2 linked regions of the Saccharomyces cerevisiae S288C genome follow. The protein of the gene in region 2 interacts with the protein of the main gene of each other region in a biochemical or structural test. Each region holds a gene or a part of one and is shown on either strand. Other genes may lie near its edges. The genes, in order: APL1 and IRC6.

Region 1 (8,744 bases), on a different chromosome or scaffold from region 2:
GGGAACTTGATGATGTGAAAGTTTACTCCTAGCAGTTAACATTTCCACTTCTGTTTCCTCTTGAATGGCATCATTCAACTCTTCCTTGCTTCCGACGTACCCAGTATATTGGAATCTGCGGCCCCAATGACAGAAATCACTGCTTACAATGAATAAATTGTTCGGATCCTTAATGTACTCCGACAAGATATTACCAATGCAACGATCAACATCAACGCTGTTATGAGAAACCATCATAGGAAATACCTTCACCGTATCTAAAGAAATTTCTCTCCATTTCAAAGTTTCCACCAACATGGGGAGCTGCATCTCTAAGGAATGTTCAGCCATATCAGTGTCATGATCCATTGGCTTAAACAGCTTCTTTCCGTTCTCAGGATACTCCTTCTGTATTAATGTTTTACACAAGTCTGTATCCACTTTCAGATTACCCAAGGGCGTCTCTAGCTCACTGAATGCACTAACTAATATTTGGTTTTTGAAATAGATGTGATGCGACGGCCCCAAGATAAATATTCTCTTAACATTACGGTTCAAATCCAACGATGCGTACGAGTAGGCCATAGTGGGTCCACAATACCTGTAACCGGCATGAGGACATATGATAATTCTGGCGTTGTGAATTGGGCCTTTAAGGGTACTTTTGATCAAGTATGTATGCAGTTGTTGAGATAATTCTTGGGCTCTATTGGAATACCATGAGCCTGCATGTGTTGCTGGACGTATTGACATGTTTGAAAAATTCTATTCTTTGCACTGTAGTCCACCTAAGCCACCGACTAGGACCACTTCACTTAAGTATCAGTCAGACTTTCCTTTGAAAATATATCAGTGTGTATCCGCATGTTATCTGTTTTGTTGAAAATCACATGAGTGGACGGCCCCTTTGTCTTGTCTTAGTGTTCCCCAATGATTTAAATGCAATTCCGAAGGAAAGGGGGGAGCCTCATATTATTACAGCATCACTACCTTTTGAGGTAAAAATATCTCATGTGAAAAAGATAAATTATAGAGAACCGGCAGGGCATGCTCCACTGACAACCCCGTGGTAACAGAAATTAAATTTTGATTATGATTAAATGGATTGTAATATTTATAATAGCCAAATGTACAAGGTGTATATTGCAAAGAATATGATATGGCAGGATATACGTATTTGTTCTATACAAAATTTTCTAAAACAGTATGACACTTGAAAACACCTAGAAAAATTAGGCGCGGCAATGATTACTCGTCGTCTGACTCATCCTCATCGTCTTCAGAGTCAGATCTATTATCTAATTCTTTGCTTTCTAATAGAGCTTGTAACTCAGCGTCTTCAGTAGCAGTGACAGCCTTTGGTGGCATGGTAATGTTGCAAACACCGCCGTATTTTGTAATAACCTCTGTAATTTTTTCAATAGCGCTTTCCAGTTGTTCAATACCTTTTTGCTTATCCAAGGCTTGGGTGGTCAAAACATATAATGGGGCGGCGACTAATTTAACTTTAACTTGCATTTGTTCTGTGGACATGTCTTCAGCTGATTTTAATGCGTCTTTAATGGCATCGATACCTTCGTAACTAAAACAAGACACTTCAACATCGGCTCTAATCTTTACAGCTTGTGGTGTTAATCTCTTGGAGATATAGTTCTTTAATTCATCTAAAACATCTTTTGATGGCGGTTCAATACCTTCCCAAACAGTTTCGTCAATGATGGATAGTTTGAAAGCTTCGTAAGCGTGACCAAATTTTCGACTTAATGGCCAAGCAATGGTCTTATATAGTTCTTCCAAAGGGATTTGGAATTTTTCGGCACAGTATCTTAAAATGGAATGAACAGTCTTAGATTTTTGGTATTTTTCTTCACATTTAATGATATCTTCAGAAGAAACACGACGTTTGGACAAATCAATATAACCTTTTTCTTTGTCGACACGAAGAACAACGGCGACATCATTTTTACCAACACGAATTAATTTTTGGATTGACCTAATACGTCTACGGGACAATTCACTTAGTAGAATCATACCTTCAATGTTGTCATATTCTAACAATTTAACATAAGCACCCATTTCAGCAATCTGCTGGACGTTAACCATGACGATATCGTCAATTTCTGGGTATTTGTTTTCATAAAATCTGCAATGAGAAGTGGACATTATTTGGTGTATTATAGAAGGTGCGTGAGGCAGCAGAAAAGACACAAAAATATGAAGACAAAAACTGATTAGTAAACAGATTGCACTTTACTCTTTAATGACCTAGGAAATAAACAATGGTTGAAAATTTGTAAATGCGATTTTATACTACTATTTCATCAGATTTGTGCTTTCTCTTCTTCTCTTTTTCGCCTCTTCGAAGAAAAAATTTTTCTCCGACTGCGGGTAAGAAAAAACGCTCATAGTTTTTCTACCAGCTGTGACAAGAAACGTATTTTGAGCTGAACGATGAATGCTCACTTTTACATATAAAACTTAATTGCATATCTATGTGGAAATTATTCCTTGTTTTATTTAAATGTCAATCTTGACCGTCTCTGCTTCTAACGTTTCCAAATCCAGTAATATTATCATCCCAGTAGAACTGAATTCAGGGACAGATATTATCTTTATGTTCTTACCACCTATTTCCACTACTCTTGTTCCAAAATATGGCTGGTTTGCCACAATGTAAACGTGGGGCCACTTATCCAATACAAATGGATCCTTATCAGTGTACGGATAACACCATAAGGTATCAGGTGCGGTGGGCGCGATGTTTTGCCATTTCATTGTACATTCCATAAGGTCCAGGCGATGCTCTATATCGTCTTTGAAATCATTACTCTCGCCCTCCTCGACCTTGTTTTCACTTTCTCCGTTATCATTTGATGGTATTACGTATTTACAAATATCATTGATATTTTTGCCTGAAACGGCTAGAACGTCTACGCCATTATAGCTAAACTCATATGGGTTGGTCACTAAATTCAAAATTTCTTTGTTAGAACCGTTGAAGTATGATTCTAGGGACTTATCAAACAATGATTTGTGGAAAGGCTGTTGCGGTAGAGATTTGTCACTTGGATCATTGGTTCCGGGCATAATATCAACAGATATAGATGGCAAAATGTTGTGTAGAAATTTACTGAACTCAGTTAGAGAAATCATCAATTCGTCTTTGTTCACGCTTTTAATGTCGAAGTCAACAGAGTTGCCGCATATCAGTAATCTACCAATTAGAGAAATGTCGTCAATTTTGTTATTGATTCTCCCCATCAAAAATTCTCTCAAAATCTCCAATCTCAATAGCCTATCAGGTGATGTATTATTGAGGTTTAACCCAGAAACAAGAGCAATTTTTCCCCTGGTGGGGCAGGTAGCAATTGGTGCAGGGAAAGGATTTTGTGGTAAAGGAGTGGGGTAGCATATGTCTAAAACTTGAAATGTCCCGGCTTCAGCTTCCATACCCAGTATACCTACAACAACACCCGTGATGAAGGGTGTAGACCGAATAAAATCTCCCACTAGAAGCACTCTCCCACTTTCATCTTCGAGCATAATTTCATCAGAACCACCCTCTTTATCAGTATAACTTTTAGTTAAATCTGGTGCACCATATGTATCATTGATCACTTCGTCCAGTACGTTTGGTTTATATTTCATCTCGCAATATATGGATCCTACGCACCAACATGGTTGGTTTCCCTGAATATCTAACACTTTGTCCTTTTTTAGAACTAATTGGCCATTCAAGGTAAAGCCCGCATCCCATCTCTTGTCACATTCTTTTAAGACGCGTTCTCTGAAAGTCTTTAGACGGTATTGATAAATGTGGTAGTACTGAGAACCGTAGTCACGTTTTTTATAGCATAGTTGGAATGGATTCGATTTGTTGTAAAGATTGTCGTCAACAATTCTTACTCTCGTTCGTGGTTGGGACAAGTTTTCATCTTGGAGACTTCTATCCTCGTTGAACTTTGTTAACAATGCGTCCATTGCCCTTCACTTCCATTTTTGCAGGAAAGATTCAGCTATAGTTCGCTTATTGCAATGGGATTTCAAAAATAGTTTATATTTTAACTTTTGAAATTAATCAGACGCGTCTGATTAATCGTATAACATGATATAAATCTAGAGTTAGTATTGGCGGCTATTTTGCTTTTCCTCTGGTTTTCCTTTCCCTTTGACACCCTTTTTGCCACTTAACTACTGTATAAGAGTGGGTAAAGCACACCCACAAAGCATTGAACGACAGATTGATATCAACAGGCTGAAATAGAACAATCGAGAATGTTGCACCCTTTTTTCCAATCTAAGCACTTGCGTACATATATATATATATATAGGATAATGTGTAGTCGTATTATTAACCGCCTTTTGGAAGTTTGCTAACCGCATAGTTGTCATTAGAAACCACCAAACATAGTGAAGAAGCGAACATGCATAATACTGGCAAGAGATACTCAGAAACTGCCAAAAAAGTGGCAGCAGGAAGAGCAAGAAAACGTAGGCAAGCTTACGAAAAGGACCAACTAGAGAAACAACAACTAGAAGCTCAAGAAGCTCAGAGGTGGGAAGAAGGTGCGAGAACCCCTAACCAGAAGAAGCTGATTATGGAACAAAAAAAGACAGAGAAGCTAAGAGCCAAAAAGGAAAGAGACCAATTACTAGCCGCCGAAGAGGAAGCTTTAGGTAAGGGAGGCAGGGGAAAAAGATACTGAAATGACGGAAAACGAGAATATGGAGCAGAGAGCAACTTTTAGAGCTTTACCCGTTAAAAGGTCAAATCGAGGCTTCCTGCCTTTGTCTGATTTTAGTAGTACCGGAAGGTTTATTACGCCCAAGAACAGTGCTTGAATTGAGTTCTCGGGACACGGGAAAGACAATGGAAGAAAAATTTACATTCAGTAGCCTTATATATGAAATGCTGCCAAGCCACGTCTTTATAAGTAGATAATGTCCCATGAGCTGAACTATGGGAATTTATGACGCAGTTCATTGTATATATATTACATTAACTCTTTAGTTTAACATCTGAATTGTTTTATAAAATAACTTTTTGAATTTTTTTATGATCGCTTAGTTAAGTCTATTATATCAGGTTTTTTCATTCATCATAATTGTTCGTTAAATATGAGTATATTTAAATACAGGAATTAGTATCATTTGCAGTCACGAAAAGGGCCGTTTCATAGAGAGTTTTCTTAATAAAGTTGAGGGTTTCCGTGATAGTTTTGAGGGGTTGTTTGAACTAGATTTACGCTTACCTTTCAACTGATTAATTTTTTCAGCGGGCTTATCATAATCATCCATCATAGCAGTCTTTCTGGACTTCGTCGAGGACTGGCTTTCTGAATTTTGACGGTCCCTATTAGCTCCAGTTGGAGGAAATGAGTTACCTACAACTGGCAAGAGGTCTTTGTTTGGATTCAAAATAGGACTTTGTGGTAGCAGTTTGGTTTTATTCAATCTAAAGATATGAGAAACAGGTTTTAAGTAAATCGATACTATTGTACCAATGTTTAGCTCCAATTCCTCCAAAACGGTGGGATCTAATTTCGTGTTCATTTCTATTAGTGGCAACTCTCCGTCCAGTACTGATTTTAAAGATTCAAAAGTTATCGCGTTTGATATACGAGACGTTTTCGTTAATGACAGCAATCTCCAATACATCAGTGTTTTATCTCTTAAGTCAGGATTATTTTCGTGATCGATGCATCCTTTTAATAAATCCATACAAAGTTCTTCAGTTTCCTTTGTAGGACTTCTGATGAAGAATTTTATTGCTGAGTTCAGAATGGAAAATTGCACTTCTAGCGTCTCACTAAACATGTTTGAGGAAAAAACTCTAAATAACTCCAGGTAGTTTGGAATTACATCCGAATATTGCGTTATTATCCAGATCATAGCGTTTTTTGATTCAGGTTCCTGTACAACTTCAGTGTGTTTGACTAGTTCTGTTACGTTTGCTTTAAAATTATTGGGATATTTCCTCAAAATATTTCTGAAAACCGAAATAATCTCCTGGACGACATAATCAACACCGAATTCTAACAAATCTAGTAGAACAGCGACACAATCGTGTACAGAGTCTTCATCTAGCTTAACAGCCAGATTACCAATGGCTCTGACTGATTTCCTTGACATTTGAATATCAATATCTGTAGCATATTGTTCCAACTCTTCTAGAATTCTTGGTAATGTTTCCTTGTTAGCTAAAAGATATAAACACTCTAATTTCGTGTCTTTGATGTATATGGGGTCATTGTACTCGATGAAAAAATACGAAATGTCTAGCCTGAGTAGAGATGACTCCCTACTCAATAAAAGAAGAATAACGTTTCTTAATACTAAAAATTGTAATTCAGGCGGCTTATCTAACAAAGCTATTACAGAGTTAGATAGCTTTTCGGCTAGAGTTTCTTTGATGACGTCAACATAATTCAACAAGTACATGATGAATTTTAAAGAGTTCAACACTACGTATGTGTTTACTTGTTGCAGGTACGGTAAAGCTAGTTCGATCATTTCATGGGTATCCAAATAATGCTGCGGCACAACCGAAGTCGTCAAAACTTCCAAAACAGTAGCCTTATTCCACTCATTTAATTCGGGTAAAAGCTCTAGCATGTCAAAAGCGAGTTCCAAGGGAATCCTGAAGGGTTCCATGTTAGCGTTTTTTTCGTGAATGGAATATAAAGTATGTAATGCAGCTACAATGACTTCTGGAGAGCTCGACTGTGCTTTTACAATGTCATGTAGAATGCTTGATAACCCCAATACCCTTTCATGATCAATTTCATCTAAATCCAACAGTGCGTAAATTGCTGTCCTCGTCACTTGTTCAGGTGGAGACTTGTGATTTACCAATGAAATGATACAGTCGAAGGCCTGATCAGATAGCTCTTTCACCGGGACTAATACCAGAGTTCTTAGTGCCATTATTTGTAACTTTTCATCTCTGCTTTTGAAATCGTCCATTATAAATGGCAAAGCCTCTCTGGCCTGCTGAGGTTTTAATGCGCCGATCACCCTAATATACTCATGGCAAATTCTTTTCACTTCTAGATCATCTTCAATTTGCCAAAATTTCAAGAGCTCAGAAAACAGAACGGACATTTCGCCATAGTTTCCTAGAACCAAATTGGCGATAATTTTTCTCAGAGCATTTTTCCTTCTTGTTATATTCGATTTAAACTTTTTTACTCCAAAATGTTGCAGATCTGTGACGATTTCATTTGCTTTATATCTGGCAAAAACTTTTTGATCGGACATAAGCGAAATACGTCCTATTAATGAAGTGAATGTTCTTGCTGTATTCCCTTCTTGTGCAGTAGATTAATTCTGTTTCCAGGCTGCGATACTTTGATACCCAATACTAAAAGTTGATGATTTGAACGATCTCCTATTTCCTCGCACATTTTTGGAGCGATACCCGGAAGACAGAATCGCGATGTTAAGAAAATAGTTCTGATGGCACTAAAGAGATCATGATTAAGGAAAGGTAAGTGATATGCATGAATGGGAATAGGCTTTCGAACTTGACGATTTAGTTCCTTATTTCTATCCATCTAATCCTCCAACTTCAATAGGCCTTATCTAGCTCAGAGCAGTATTTAATTGAGAATAGTAGCTTAATTGAAACCTTACTAAAAAAGTGTATGGTTACATAAGATAAGGCGTTAAGAAGAGTATACATATGCATTATTCATTACCAAGACCACTATGAATAGTAATACCATATTTAGCTTTTGAAACTCATGTTTTCTATTGTGTTGTTTCAAATTCCTCTGTTAGGCTCAATTTAGGTTAATTAAATTATAAAAAAATATAAAAAATAAAGAAAGTTTATCCATCGTCACCTCAATTCAATGGAGTAAACAGTTTCAACACTGAGTGGTGAAACATTGAACAACTACATGCAGTTTCCCGCCACGAGGCAAGTGTAGGTCCTTTGTCCATTTCGCTTTGTTTTGCAGGTCATTGATGACCTAATTAGGAAGGTAGAAGCCGCTCCAGCTCGATAAGGAAATGCTAAGGGTACTCGCCTTTGGTGTTTTACCATACAATGGCAGCTTTATGTCACTTCATTCTTCAGTAACGGCGCTTAAATATTCCCAAAAACGTTACAATGGAATTGTTTGATCATGTAACGAAATGCAATCTTCTAAAAAAAAAGCCATGTGAATCAAAAAAAGATTCCTTTTAGCATACTATAAATATGCGAAATGCCCTCTATTTATTCTAGTAATCGTCCATTCTCATATCTTCCTTATATCAGTCGCCTCGCTTAATATAGTCAGCACAAAAGGAACAACAATTCGCCAGTTTTCAAAATGTTCACTTTTCTCAAAATTATTCTGTGGCTTTTTTCCTTGGCATTGGCCTCTGCTATAAATATCAACGATATCACATTTTCCAATTTAGAAATTACTCCACTGACTGCAAATAAACAACCTGATCAAGGTTGGACTGCCACTTTTGATTTTAGTATTGCAGATGCGTCTTCCATTAGGGAGGGCGATGAATTCACATTATCAATGCCACATGTTTATAGGATTAAGCTATTAAACTCATCGCAAACAGCTACTATTTCCTTAGCGGATGGTACTGAGGCTTTCAAATGCTATGTTTCGCAACAGGCTGCATACTTGTATGAAAATACTACTTTCACATGTACTGCTCAAAATGACCTGTCCTCCTATAATACGATTGATGGATCCATAACATTTTCGCTAAATTTTAGTGATGGTGGTTCCAGCTATGAATATGAGTTAGAA
Region 2 (11,271 bases):
TCTTCGGATGAATCACTAAGGTCCAAAGTCTTCGATAAGGCCAAGTTTATCTCCGAGCAATTATCACAATCGGGGTTCCATGACATTAAAATGGTGGATCTGGGCATTCAACCTCCACCAATTTCTACGCCAAATCTGTCTCTACCTCCTGTGATTCTGTCTAGGTTCGGCAGCGACCCTTCAAAAAAGACTGTGTTGGTTTACGGTCACTATGATGTGCAACCTGCTCAATTGGAAGATGGTTGGGATACTGAGCCATTCAAGCTTGTCATTGATGAGGCTAAAGGTATCATGAAAGGAAGGGGTGTCACCGATGACACTGGTCCCTTATTATCTTGGATTAACGTTGTGGACGCCTTCAAAGCCTCCGGACAAGAATTCCCCGTTAACTTAGTTACTTGTTTCGAAGGAATGGAGGAAAGTGGTTCTTTGAAATTGGATGAATTGATTAAAAAGGAAGCTAATGGTTACTTTAAAGGTGTAGATGCCGTTTGTATTTCCGATAATTACTGGCTAGGCACTAAGAAGCCTGTTTTGACTTATGGTCTAAGAGGTTGCAACTACTATCAAACCATCATTGAGGGTCCAAGTGCAGATTTACACTCTGGTATCTTTGGTGGTGTTGTTGCTGAACCAATGATCGATTTAATGCAAGTTCTCGGTTCCCTTGTGGATTCTAAGGGTAAGATCCTGATTGACGGTATTGACGAAATGGTTGCTCCTCTAACCGAAAAGGAGAAGGCTCTATACAAGGATATCGAATTTAGCGTCGAAGAATTGAACGCTGCAACTGGCTCTAAGACAAGTTTGTACGACAAGAAGGAAGACATCTTGATGCACAGATGGAGGTATCCTTCGTTGTCCATTCATGGTGTGGAAGGCGCCTTTTCCGCTCAAGGTGCAAAGACTGTCATTCCAGCTAAGGTCTTCGGTAAGTTTTCCATTAGAACCGTCCCCGACATGGATTCTGAGAAACTGACCTCTTTGGTCCAGAAGCATTGTGATGCCAAATTCAAGTCCTTGAACTCTCCAAACAAGTGCAGAACAGAATTGATCCATGATGGTGCTTATTGGGTTTCTGATCCATTCAACGCCCAATTTACTGCTGCTAAAAAGGCCACAAAACTGGTCTATGGTGTCGATCCTGATTTTACCAGGGAAGGTGGTTCCATTCCTATCACTTTGACTTTCCAAGATGCCTTGAACACTAGTGTCTTATTGCTGCCAATGGGTAGAGGCGATGATGGTGCTCATTCAATCAATGAAAAGTTAGATATTTCAAATTTTGTTGGTGGTATGAAGACGATGGCTGCTTACTTGCAATATTACTCTGAATCGCCAGAAAACTAAGTCATCTTATTTATATATGTGTATATATGTGTAAATTCCATGTCATTCAAGTTTACTCATTCCTATTCGAATTCTGAAAAGAGAGGAAAAACAGAAAACTCTTTATAGAGAAAATCTGATGCAGCAAGATAGCAAGTATATATACGCAAAAATACCAATCTACCATGGTTCTTCAATACCCCCAGAATAAAATATTGGTTTTATCAGATCACCCACACAACTTTTTAAAAACACAATTTTTGCAAGACCTGTTTCATTGCTCTAGCACGGGCATCAGTATAGTTAAGGACCAAACTTGGGAAAATAGATACTATAAAGTCCATTTTGATCTTTATATTGACTCTTGCAAAGAGATACCAGTATGGGTGGAAGAATTTATAACGCCTGAATGTGAACCGCTTAGAAATGTCATGGCAGGAATTATCTTAATAACGGACATCCGGCAAACAAAACCTCAAGAACTGCTGCACCAATTCATGATAGCTGCCCATCGAAATACTTTTGTTGTGTTGGCCAATGTGAACGAAGAAGTCGAGCAAGATGAAATTGATGAACTGAATGAGATATGGAGCAATGCCTTTACAAACGTCATCGAATTCGTAAACTGGAAAAGGTCAAAACCAACTGTTAATCATAACGACTATGGAGAAAAATTGGGGCTTGATAGGATCCAGGAGATTATAGATACCCACGACTGGTTAAATTGTGAAGTTCAACCGGCTACTAAAATAAGGGAGGAAATTCCTAATGAAATGCCCCTCGAACAAATAATTAGGAATTTGCAAAGTGCAAGGCTAAAATATAAGTCTATCGAGAATAGTAGTGAAGCTGATGCTTTTGCAAATGAAATGGCTGACGAACTATCCAGATATTTATGAGTATGTACAGATATGTATATGTGTATACATATGTATTAAACCAATAAGATTGCTCATTTTGTTAATAGTTTTTTGTATGCTGTTAGTAGTACAGGGAAGTATGCTAGTAAAACCACCCTGTTGATTATGTCCAAAGTCGGGGTAGAATGATAGTTCTTAACCTGGATATTTAATAGTAGCAATGCAAATTCACTCAGGTAGAGAATTGGCAATGTAACAAATGTGTTAACCTTCCATACAAGTGTTCTTTCCTTTACGCCCTTACGTTTAAAAAGTTTGCACCAATGGCAATATGCCTGTGATAAAGATAAGGAAATAATGAAACTAGAATATGATGCATTCTTGAGGATCAATGCATGCTCATAATCGTCATAAAAATGGATCACGCTGACTAAATAGATAAAATTTAGGTCTTTCAAAAACGTTCTTGAAAGCAAACCATATTTGAACCCGTGGAATCTAAGCAACCAAATAACTTCCATGATGCTGGAATAAAACATCAAATATATCAAGAATTCGTGGATTCCTCCCGGTAAAAACCGAGACCCTACCAGTGGCATTAATATCAGCCACCGTATCAATAATGCAGCATACAAAAAGCTTGTGGCTAATTGATAATACTGATAAAGCTTATGCGTCAACTTGATACCTGCCATCCTCAATGCTAGTTAAATATATGTGACCGAACAAATACTTTTATTGACGTTGTATTTACATTATTTCCCAATTTGAAGGTAAATCATATTTAATTTCCATATTCAAAATTAATAATCACGAAAAAAATGAGATTTTCAAAATAACACGTACCAAAAGAATAGAAAACGAACAAAAAATCAAGGTTACAAGATCACTAAAAGAATGAACGGTTACTGGAAACCTGCGTTGGTTGTCCTGGGATTGGTATCTCTATCATATGCTTTTACCACCATTGAAACAGAAATTTTCCAATTACAAAATGAAATAAGTACGAAATATGGCCCAGATATGAACTTCTACAAGTTCTTGAAGTTACCTAAACTGCAGAATTCTAGTACAAAGGAGATTACAAAAAACTTAAGAAAGCTATCCAAGAAGTACCATCCGGATAAGAACCCTAAATACCGTAAATTGTATGAAAGGTTAAACCTCGCTACTCAAATTCTTTCAAACAGCTCTAATCGTAAGATTTATGATTATTATCTACAGAATGGCTTTCCAAACTATGATTTCCATAAGGGTGGTTTTTATTTTTCCAGAATGAAGCCTAAGACTTGGTTCCTGCTGGCCTTTATTTGGATAGTCGTTAATATTGGGCAGTATATCATTTCTATTATTCAATATCGTTCTCAAAGATCAAGAATTGAAAACTTCATCAGTCAGTGTAAACAACAGGATGATACCAATGGACTAGGCGTAAAACAACTAACGTTTAAACAACATGAAAAGGATGAGGGTAAAAGTTTGGTTGTAAGGTTTAGCGATGTCTATGTTGTAGAGCCTGATGGAAGTGAAACACTAATTTCGCCAGATACCTTGGATAAACCTTCAGTAAAGAACTGTTTGTTTTGGAGAATACCTGCTTCGGTTTGGAACATGACGTTTGGCAAATCTGTTGGTAGCGCAGGAAAAGAAGAAATAATAACGGATAGTAAAAAGTATGATGGTAACCAAACAAAAAAGGGGAACAAAGTAAAAAAGGGTTCTGCAAAGAAAGGCCAAAAGAAAATGGAATTGCCTAACGGTAAAGTGATCTATTCACGTAAATGATACGTAAGAAGTAATATTATCATGATGAATGAATGAATGAATAGAAAACTACATGGTACTTATACATATAAATTAATATATATATATACAAATTAAAGAAAAGTACAAAACAATGTATCATTCATGATCATAATCATTATCATTATCAGCATCTTCATTATAATTACGAGTATTATCATTGTCATTATCATTATTATCGTTATTATCGTTGTTATTACTATTATTACTATTATGGTTGGTATTGTTAATGTTACTATTACTGTTCTTGTCCTCCGGCGGCCCCAGTATGAAAACCCCATTTTCCGTGTTCTTATTATCAACGTCTTCTTGAGCCCTATTGATTAACATTTCCCTTAACTTGTTGTGTAAATCAGATTCTGTAGATAAGGACAACTGTTCTTCTAGAGACTCAACATTGATTAATTGGCCGCCACCACTTGTTCCATTACTACTCCCGGTATCTGAATCAAGGATTTCATTATTATTACTTGCATCACCATTTGGAGTTAATACAGTAGTATTGTCAGGCAGCTGCGGAATGATGTTACCATTTCCATCATCAATATAACTTCCACCGCCAAGAATTTTAGAGTACATCATTCTTGTTTCGTTTAAGACTTCTTCGGAGTAGTATTGCCATTCTTCGGTTTGTAAAATTACTTGAATATCGGGAGATATTAGTTCCACTTTGTACAATTTAGAAAATTTGACCACTTCTTCGGCAATCAAGACAATATGGCCCATATATCCCAAATTCATTTTCCTTAGCTCATAAAATTTATATGAATCCTGGTAGCCCCTTAATATGAAGTCTGTAGTTATTTTGAAATCAAAATTTGGGTCTCTAATAACGGGAGAAAATCGGGAAACATCCGTTCCTTTTTCATCTGATATGACGATATCAGTCATAAATTGATAGGAGCTCTTTAAGTTAAACAGAGACAAAACAAGGAAGGAATTATAGGAAAAATCCATTCTTCCATTGAAGATTTGCTGAATTATGTCGAATATAACATTATGCCAAAAATTGTTCCAAGGATGTGTTAAGAATAGTTCCATTATTTTGGAAACAATTCGCGTATCATATAGTTTGATTTTGAATAGGTCCCCGACCGTGGGGTCGGTCCTAAGTTTTATGTTTTGCTTCATATTGATGTATGGAATTTCGAAGCTCTCGTCTATTTCGTCGCCATAGTCACTTTCATCATCATTATCATTATTGTCGTTATCTATTTTACCGTTGTTATTTTTTAGGTCGTGATCAGTGTCACGTGTTGGAGAGTGCTTCGTTTTAAGTTGCTCCTTTTCTTCGATACTCAGATCGTTTAATGCATCTTGTAAATGATGGGATAACTGGCTCCTTACTTTATCTCTTCTTCTGGCTATTCTTTCTGCCCTTTTGGAATTCATTAATCCCATATTAGAGCAATGCAGTAACTCGGCGATTAATTCCACCACTTTGAATCTTTCAAATCCTAAAGGTTTAAATTTTTCGTGCAACTGATTTTCATGTAATGGGATGTTGGCGTCATTTTCAATATCTAGAATGATTTGGAAAAAATCGGACAAATGGTTTGAAAATTTCCGAAGTAGATAGCCTAAATATATTGGATCTCTATTTGAAGGTGGATGAGTCTTTATAGTAGTGGTTAAAAGATTAACTTGATCGTAGTCTGAATTGTTTTTCCTTATCAGCTCAATGACAATCGAAACTGTGGTATTTAATGCGGCACCTCTTTGGTTGATCATGATATCGACTAGCTTTGCAATGGATTCGGGAGATGCTAGCTGTCTCGTCAAGGAGTTTGGACCAATGGAAATATCATCCAAGGGTGCATTAGCAGAAATGGCAATCAGAGCCTTTAAGAAATCACCCACGCATGCTTGGATGTCAGCTGGGGACTCTTTGTTATTTAGAAAGCTTAAGCATTTGCTGATCAAGTTTTGATCATATACTAATTCAATTATTCCCGTGGGTGATTCAATCTTATCTGTGGATATTATTTTCAAGAAAAAATCCATCAATAGGGAAATATCAACATGCTTTAACATATCATCAACAAAGCTTCTCTCCGTTCGAATAAAATTTAAATATTGATCCTGCCTGGTTAACAACAGATTTTGGTTAATCTTTAAGAATATGGGTACCAAGGGAGAGTTTTCAGAATTGAAATTTGGCTGGTTGATGATAGACCAAATCTTGTTTAAGTATGATTGGTTTTTAACTAATGACTCGCTAATCAACCATATGTCTAAGGAAAAGATTTCAGATATTATGGTGGCCTTTGTCAAATAAGCAGATTCATCGTCCTCATTCGCATCGTCGTCGTCGTCATTGTTGTTGATATCATCGTTACCAAACGAGGAGCTTCCGCGTTTTCGTCTCTTCTTGTTATTGCTGTTATTATCGTCCTCTTTCTCCTCTTCTTGCTCCGTATCAGATTCCACATAAACGTCCTCTTGTGAGCTATCATCAAGCTGTTGCTGTTCTTGATAATCTATCAGGTTATTCAAATCCACTGTGGTGGCGGTTTTAATCTTCGAGATACATTCCATCAGTTGGTCGACCAGATATTCCATATTATTCACTTTCTTATTAGTTTTCTTATCAAAGAAAAATCCAAAGCAAATGAAGTCAAGTAGCGTCTTGTTTTGTCTCGATAATTCGTTCAGTAGCTCTGTCTCTACAAGCATTCTTTCAATAAAAGAGTTATCCAAATTCTTTGTGGTGACCATCATGGGAGCAGTAGCATTGCTGATATCCTCCTCATCTAAATCAGTTTTAGAAGTTGACCCAGAAGAAAAAGATGTAGTGGAAGATTCGCTAGAGTTCATGCTCCGTTCCTCTTCCTCTTTCTCATACCGTTCTTGCTGATCATCCTTCTCAAATCGACTCTTCTGATCTCCACGTGCCGTTTTCACTTCATCACCATGACTATACTCCTCCGGAATAGAATCTAGGGAGTCACTTGTACCTCGTTCCTGAACGTTGTTGAAAATAGCGGGAATGGCTTTACCAACGCTTGGGTTAATCCTTTCCAGTTCGTGTAGCACATGAAAATATTCATCTAGGATCTTATTAATATTAGAGTGATTAAGATTCTGTCCAAATGGCCAAAACGACATCTTTACTCTGGCTTGTTGTTTTCGTCTTTTTTTTCTTTTCTTTTGTAAAAACTGCTGCTCCAAAAATCAATAGAATGGGAACGGCAGAGACTATAGTCTAGGGAAGTAACGCTTGTGTCTTAATCGTGTTGAAATAAAATCAAAATGAAATAAAATCAAAATAATAAAAAAAGAGGAGGAAAAAAGGGGATAGTCACTCAAACCCACTATCTAGCTTTAGTCTCTCAGTCTTTTAACCGCTACTTGGAGAAAAAATACTGAATCCAATGGTCAAATAAGGCCTTTCTTCTAGTTGCTTTGGAGCGTATGATACCACGATACTGTTGGTTTTGGTTCTAATTGGCCACTTAAAATTATTTTTCTTTCTTTTTTTCTAGAGGAAGGGATAACCCTACTAAGACCTATTCTATAATTACCAGCCCTATAGTTGTCTTTCATTTTTTAGATAAATGCCCTCTTTAAAAATTAAATTAACCCTACTCATTTTGTTGTCATTTCGGCCCTTTTAAGCCACAATACAGGTATCATTTAACAGGAATTACATAATAGTACTTTAGAAGAGACTTGTATGGCATCGAGGCTTCCTTTTTGACTATTGGAAGATAGCATTTTTTTGGGTGTTGCTACTATCATATTTCTGTTACTGATTGACCTTTTCTTAACTAAGAAAAAGGTGGTTAGTTCTTTACTAAAAATCATGAAGGCCGTTTTCAAAGTAACGACTGCTTTGCTGGCTTGCGTGTTTATTGCAAGGTATCTGGTCTGTCAGCAAAATGGTCTGGGAAGCTTTGCCACAGATTTACAGCCCATTTGCCGGCATACTGAATTTTCAGTTGGCTCACTATTCGATTCTAAATTGGTTGAAGGTTCAGCGGTTTCTGACTATTTAGTTGGAAAGTACTCACAATCGATAAAACCACTGATTGAAAGATACCCCAACTCATCCTTGAAGAGAATTATGGGATATTTTTACCGCTTTTGGTACAATATTTTCTCTTTTCTAAGGCTAAATGAGCTCTGCTGTTCGCTACATTCCAAGTTGGGACCTTTATTAAATCATCTAAGGATTGCCTGGTACTATTTAAAGCCATATACAGACAATGTGAAGAATGTACTAGAGAATCCATTTAACTCCTCTACGGATTGGATGAAATACGGCTCCTTTAGCGCTGATGGCACGCTCACCAAACCCATTTTTGAGACAGACTCGGAAACAGAGGATTATGAGGATGATGAGAATGAAAATGAGGATGAGGATGAAGATGAGGATGAGGATGATGTCGGAATTGAGGATGAAAATAAAGAATACGAGTTCGATGGAGTACAGGATGGCCACGGGAACTCACAACTCGTCACTGCTGCTATTTTGCAGGATTTGTCAAAGATTATCATTGGTTCCAATAGCCATGCAGAATTGGAAACTTACGAGGCAGAATCATTAAAAATGGAATATGAAGCATGGATTAAGGCTATAGATTCGAAAATACACAGTGCGATGGCACTTTTGGATTCAGAGATACAGTCTGTGTTCGAGGCCGAGGTGCAAAATAAATCTATAGAAATCACTAGGAATCTTGATGACCTTAACACTACCGTTAATGAGCAATTAGTGTTTCTAGATTCAAAAATCAAAGATATTAATTGTACCTCTAAATTCGATCCTGTGCAAAATAAAATAAAGTATTTTGATGAATCGGGTCAAGTTGAACTGGAAGCTTACATTACCAAATCATCTATCACATCGATACTGAAGAATTATAAAATACATTTGTTAGACTTTGAAAAATCACTGTTTCATTCATTAGATTCTTTTCTTACCGAAATGGCTAAACTGGCAGAATCGATTCGTCTTGAAAACGTCGAAGTGTACGAAGAGTGGGGCGATGTAATGATAAGTCAATGGTCGCAAAGAATGGCATATATGGACGTCAGAGGTCTCCATTTGGAAGATCAATACGATCCTGCCTATATAGAAGAGAATCATTCCAACTGGCTCCGTTTCATGGAATTGAAAAAGAAAGTTATTTCTGAGAGGAACCGTCTGGTAAAACATGATCTGGATATGACTTTGATACTGGAATGGATTACTAAACTAAAAGCTGATTTCCAGAACACAAAAAATAATATTCAAGATACCTTTCTGCAACGAATGAATACTGCGGATACTTTATTCAAAAACCGTGAACTAAAGGAACAACTAGAGGAAGAATTTGTACGGCAAGAACATTGATCAATATATAGGTATGTATATGTACATATATACAAACATTTAATAAAAACAATATTGTATGATAACCAAGTTAAAGACCGGAGGTTGTTTCAAATAGCTTGACGTGCGGCAGATCTACGACTCTGTTGGCCTTGTACGCTTCAAGAGATCTGTTGGTCAATTCTTCAACCTCCTTATCAGTCAGTTGGCCCTCAGTAGCCTTATTTTCTTTCTGTCCCCCATTTTCAAAGCCTATATTGGATTCATCGCTCATTAAAAGCATAGATAACTCCTGGACTAAGTCCTTATTAGTGACATTAACACCCGCTTTGTTTGCCTTCAAAAAAGAACCTTCATTTAACGCCAATTTTTTCAGGTTATTGAATTTTCCCATCTGGATAACCATTCTTTCCAAATTTCGCTTATTGGCCGCTCTGGTCAATATAACATGTTCAATGGTGTTATCACAACACAACCTATATACTATAACCGGTGATTCTTGGCCAATACGGTGACACCTGTCCATGGCTTGTAAATCCACCTGTGGATTCCAATCACTATCAAACAAGACAACTGTATCTGCCCCGACTAGATTAATACCCAGTCCTGCCGCCCTTGTGGACAATAGGAAAATGTTATGCTTATCTTTCGAGCTATTAAACTTCTCGAGTTGATCCTTTCTTGTTTCATTGTTTACTGAACCATCAATTCGAAATGTCGCGAACGAATTTAAATCACACCAATCTTCGATCAAATCGAGCATGTTAACAAACTGAGAATAAATAAGCACTTTGTGCCCCTCAGATATTAATGGGGGGATTAATTTTTGTAAGATTTGTAATTTCCCAGACGTCTTTAAAAGAGTTTCCAAAGTCAAGTCTTCTGGGTGTAAATATGGGAAATAAAACAAAAAAGTTGAGTCAATGATTTGTCTCAATTGCATCATCATATTTTGCAATTTCTTATTTGAAATTTCCATTTGCAGGTTCTTCTTATATAGTTTGTCCATTTGCAACAAGGTTGGATTGATTTTATTGTCTGTATTTGAAGTTTCATTACCAGATAGTTTATAATTGATGAAATCTCGTATGGACCGATTAGAAACGTGGCCGATGTATTCATCGTTCAATGTGAAAAAATCCTTGATTAATTCTTTGAACATGGTTTTTTTCAACTTTCCATTCAATCCAGCCTTATAGAATTTTTCCTGTGCAGACGTCATCGGACAATTTATGATATATTCTCTCTTTGGCGGCAGAATATTAGCCAAAACAACTTTTTTCAATCTTCTCAAAAGGAATGGTTTCAGAATTGTGTGTAAATTGGAAATCAAATTTTTCTGTAGTTCATCGTTGATTAACTTATTCAATGCTTCAGAGTTGGAACCGGAGCCTAAATTTAAGCTGTCGAAGTCAAACCATTTATTGAATATCTCGAAATCGGCAAAGATATCGGGCATTATGAAATTCAAAAGTGACCATAATTCAGCTAGGTTATTTTGTAAAGGCGTCCCTGTTAGTAGCAGTCTATTGGAAGTATTGATTTTTTTTAACTCTTTAATCAATCTACAGTTTATATTTTTCAGACGGTGGCCTTCATCAACAATTAAAAATTTCCAATTTTGACTCATGATTAAGTCGGTATCTCTTAAAATAATTTCATATGATGTGATGACGATCCCCGTGCCGCCGTGTTGTTTAAAGAAATTTTTCAACTTGGCAGAACGTTCCTTATAACCATTGGTCCCATAATATTTTAGAACTGGTAGATCAGGAGCGAATTTTGCAAATTCGTTCATCCAATTATCTAGGGTGCTTAATGGTGCAGTCACTAGAAAAGGACCCTTTGTGTCCATTTCATATATGAACGCCAAAAGAGCAATACTTTGAACAGTCTTACCAAGACCCATTTCATCGGCAAGAATTCCGTTCAGGCCATTTTCATAAAGAGTGATCAGCCAGT

The links.
Region 1: the proteins of IRC6 (region 2) and APL1 form a complex in vitro, tested with the Saccharomyces cerevisiae proteins (one study listed by BioGRID).

What each region holds. Positions count from the first base shown.
Region 1 is NC_001142.9:444,418-453,161, reverse strand, and holds APL1 (Apl1p), read right to left. Parts: upstream 7,240-8,744; coding exon 5,137-7,239; downstream 1-5,136. Other genes in the region: MHO1 (Mho1p), read right to left, coding at 1-732; SUI2 (translation initiation factor eIF2 subunit alpha), read right to left, coding at 1,228-2,142; DNA-directed DNA polymerase delta subunit POL31, read right to left, coding at 2,497-3,960; LSO1 (Lso1p), read left to right, coding at 4,404-4,685; SAG1 (Sag1p), read left to right, coding at 8,301-8,744. UniProt on the Saccharomyces cerevisiae protein: Adaptins are components of the adaptor complexes which link clathrin to receptors in coated vesicles. Clathrin-associated protein complexes are believed to interact with the cytoplasmic tails of membrane proteins, leading to their selection and concentration.
Region 2 is NC_001138.5:230,071-241,341, reverse strand, and holds IRC6 (Irc6p), read left to right. Parts: upstream 1-1,514; coding exon 1,515-2,228; downstream 2,229-11,271. Other genes in the region: DUG1 (metallodipeptidase), read left to right, coding at 1-1,350; KEG1 (Keg1p), read right to left, coding at 2,282-2,884; ERJ5 (Erj5p), read left to right, coding at 3,087-3,974; SAP155 (Sap155p), read right to left, coding at 4,092-7,100; OSW7 (Osw7p), read left to right, coding at 7,798-9,330; IRC5 (putative ATPase), read right to left, coding at 9,401-11,271. UniProt on the Saccharomyces cerevisiae protein: Involved in gross chromosomal rearrangements (GCRs) and telomere healing.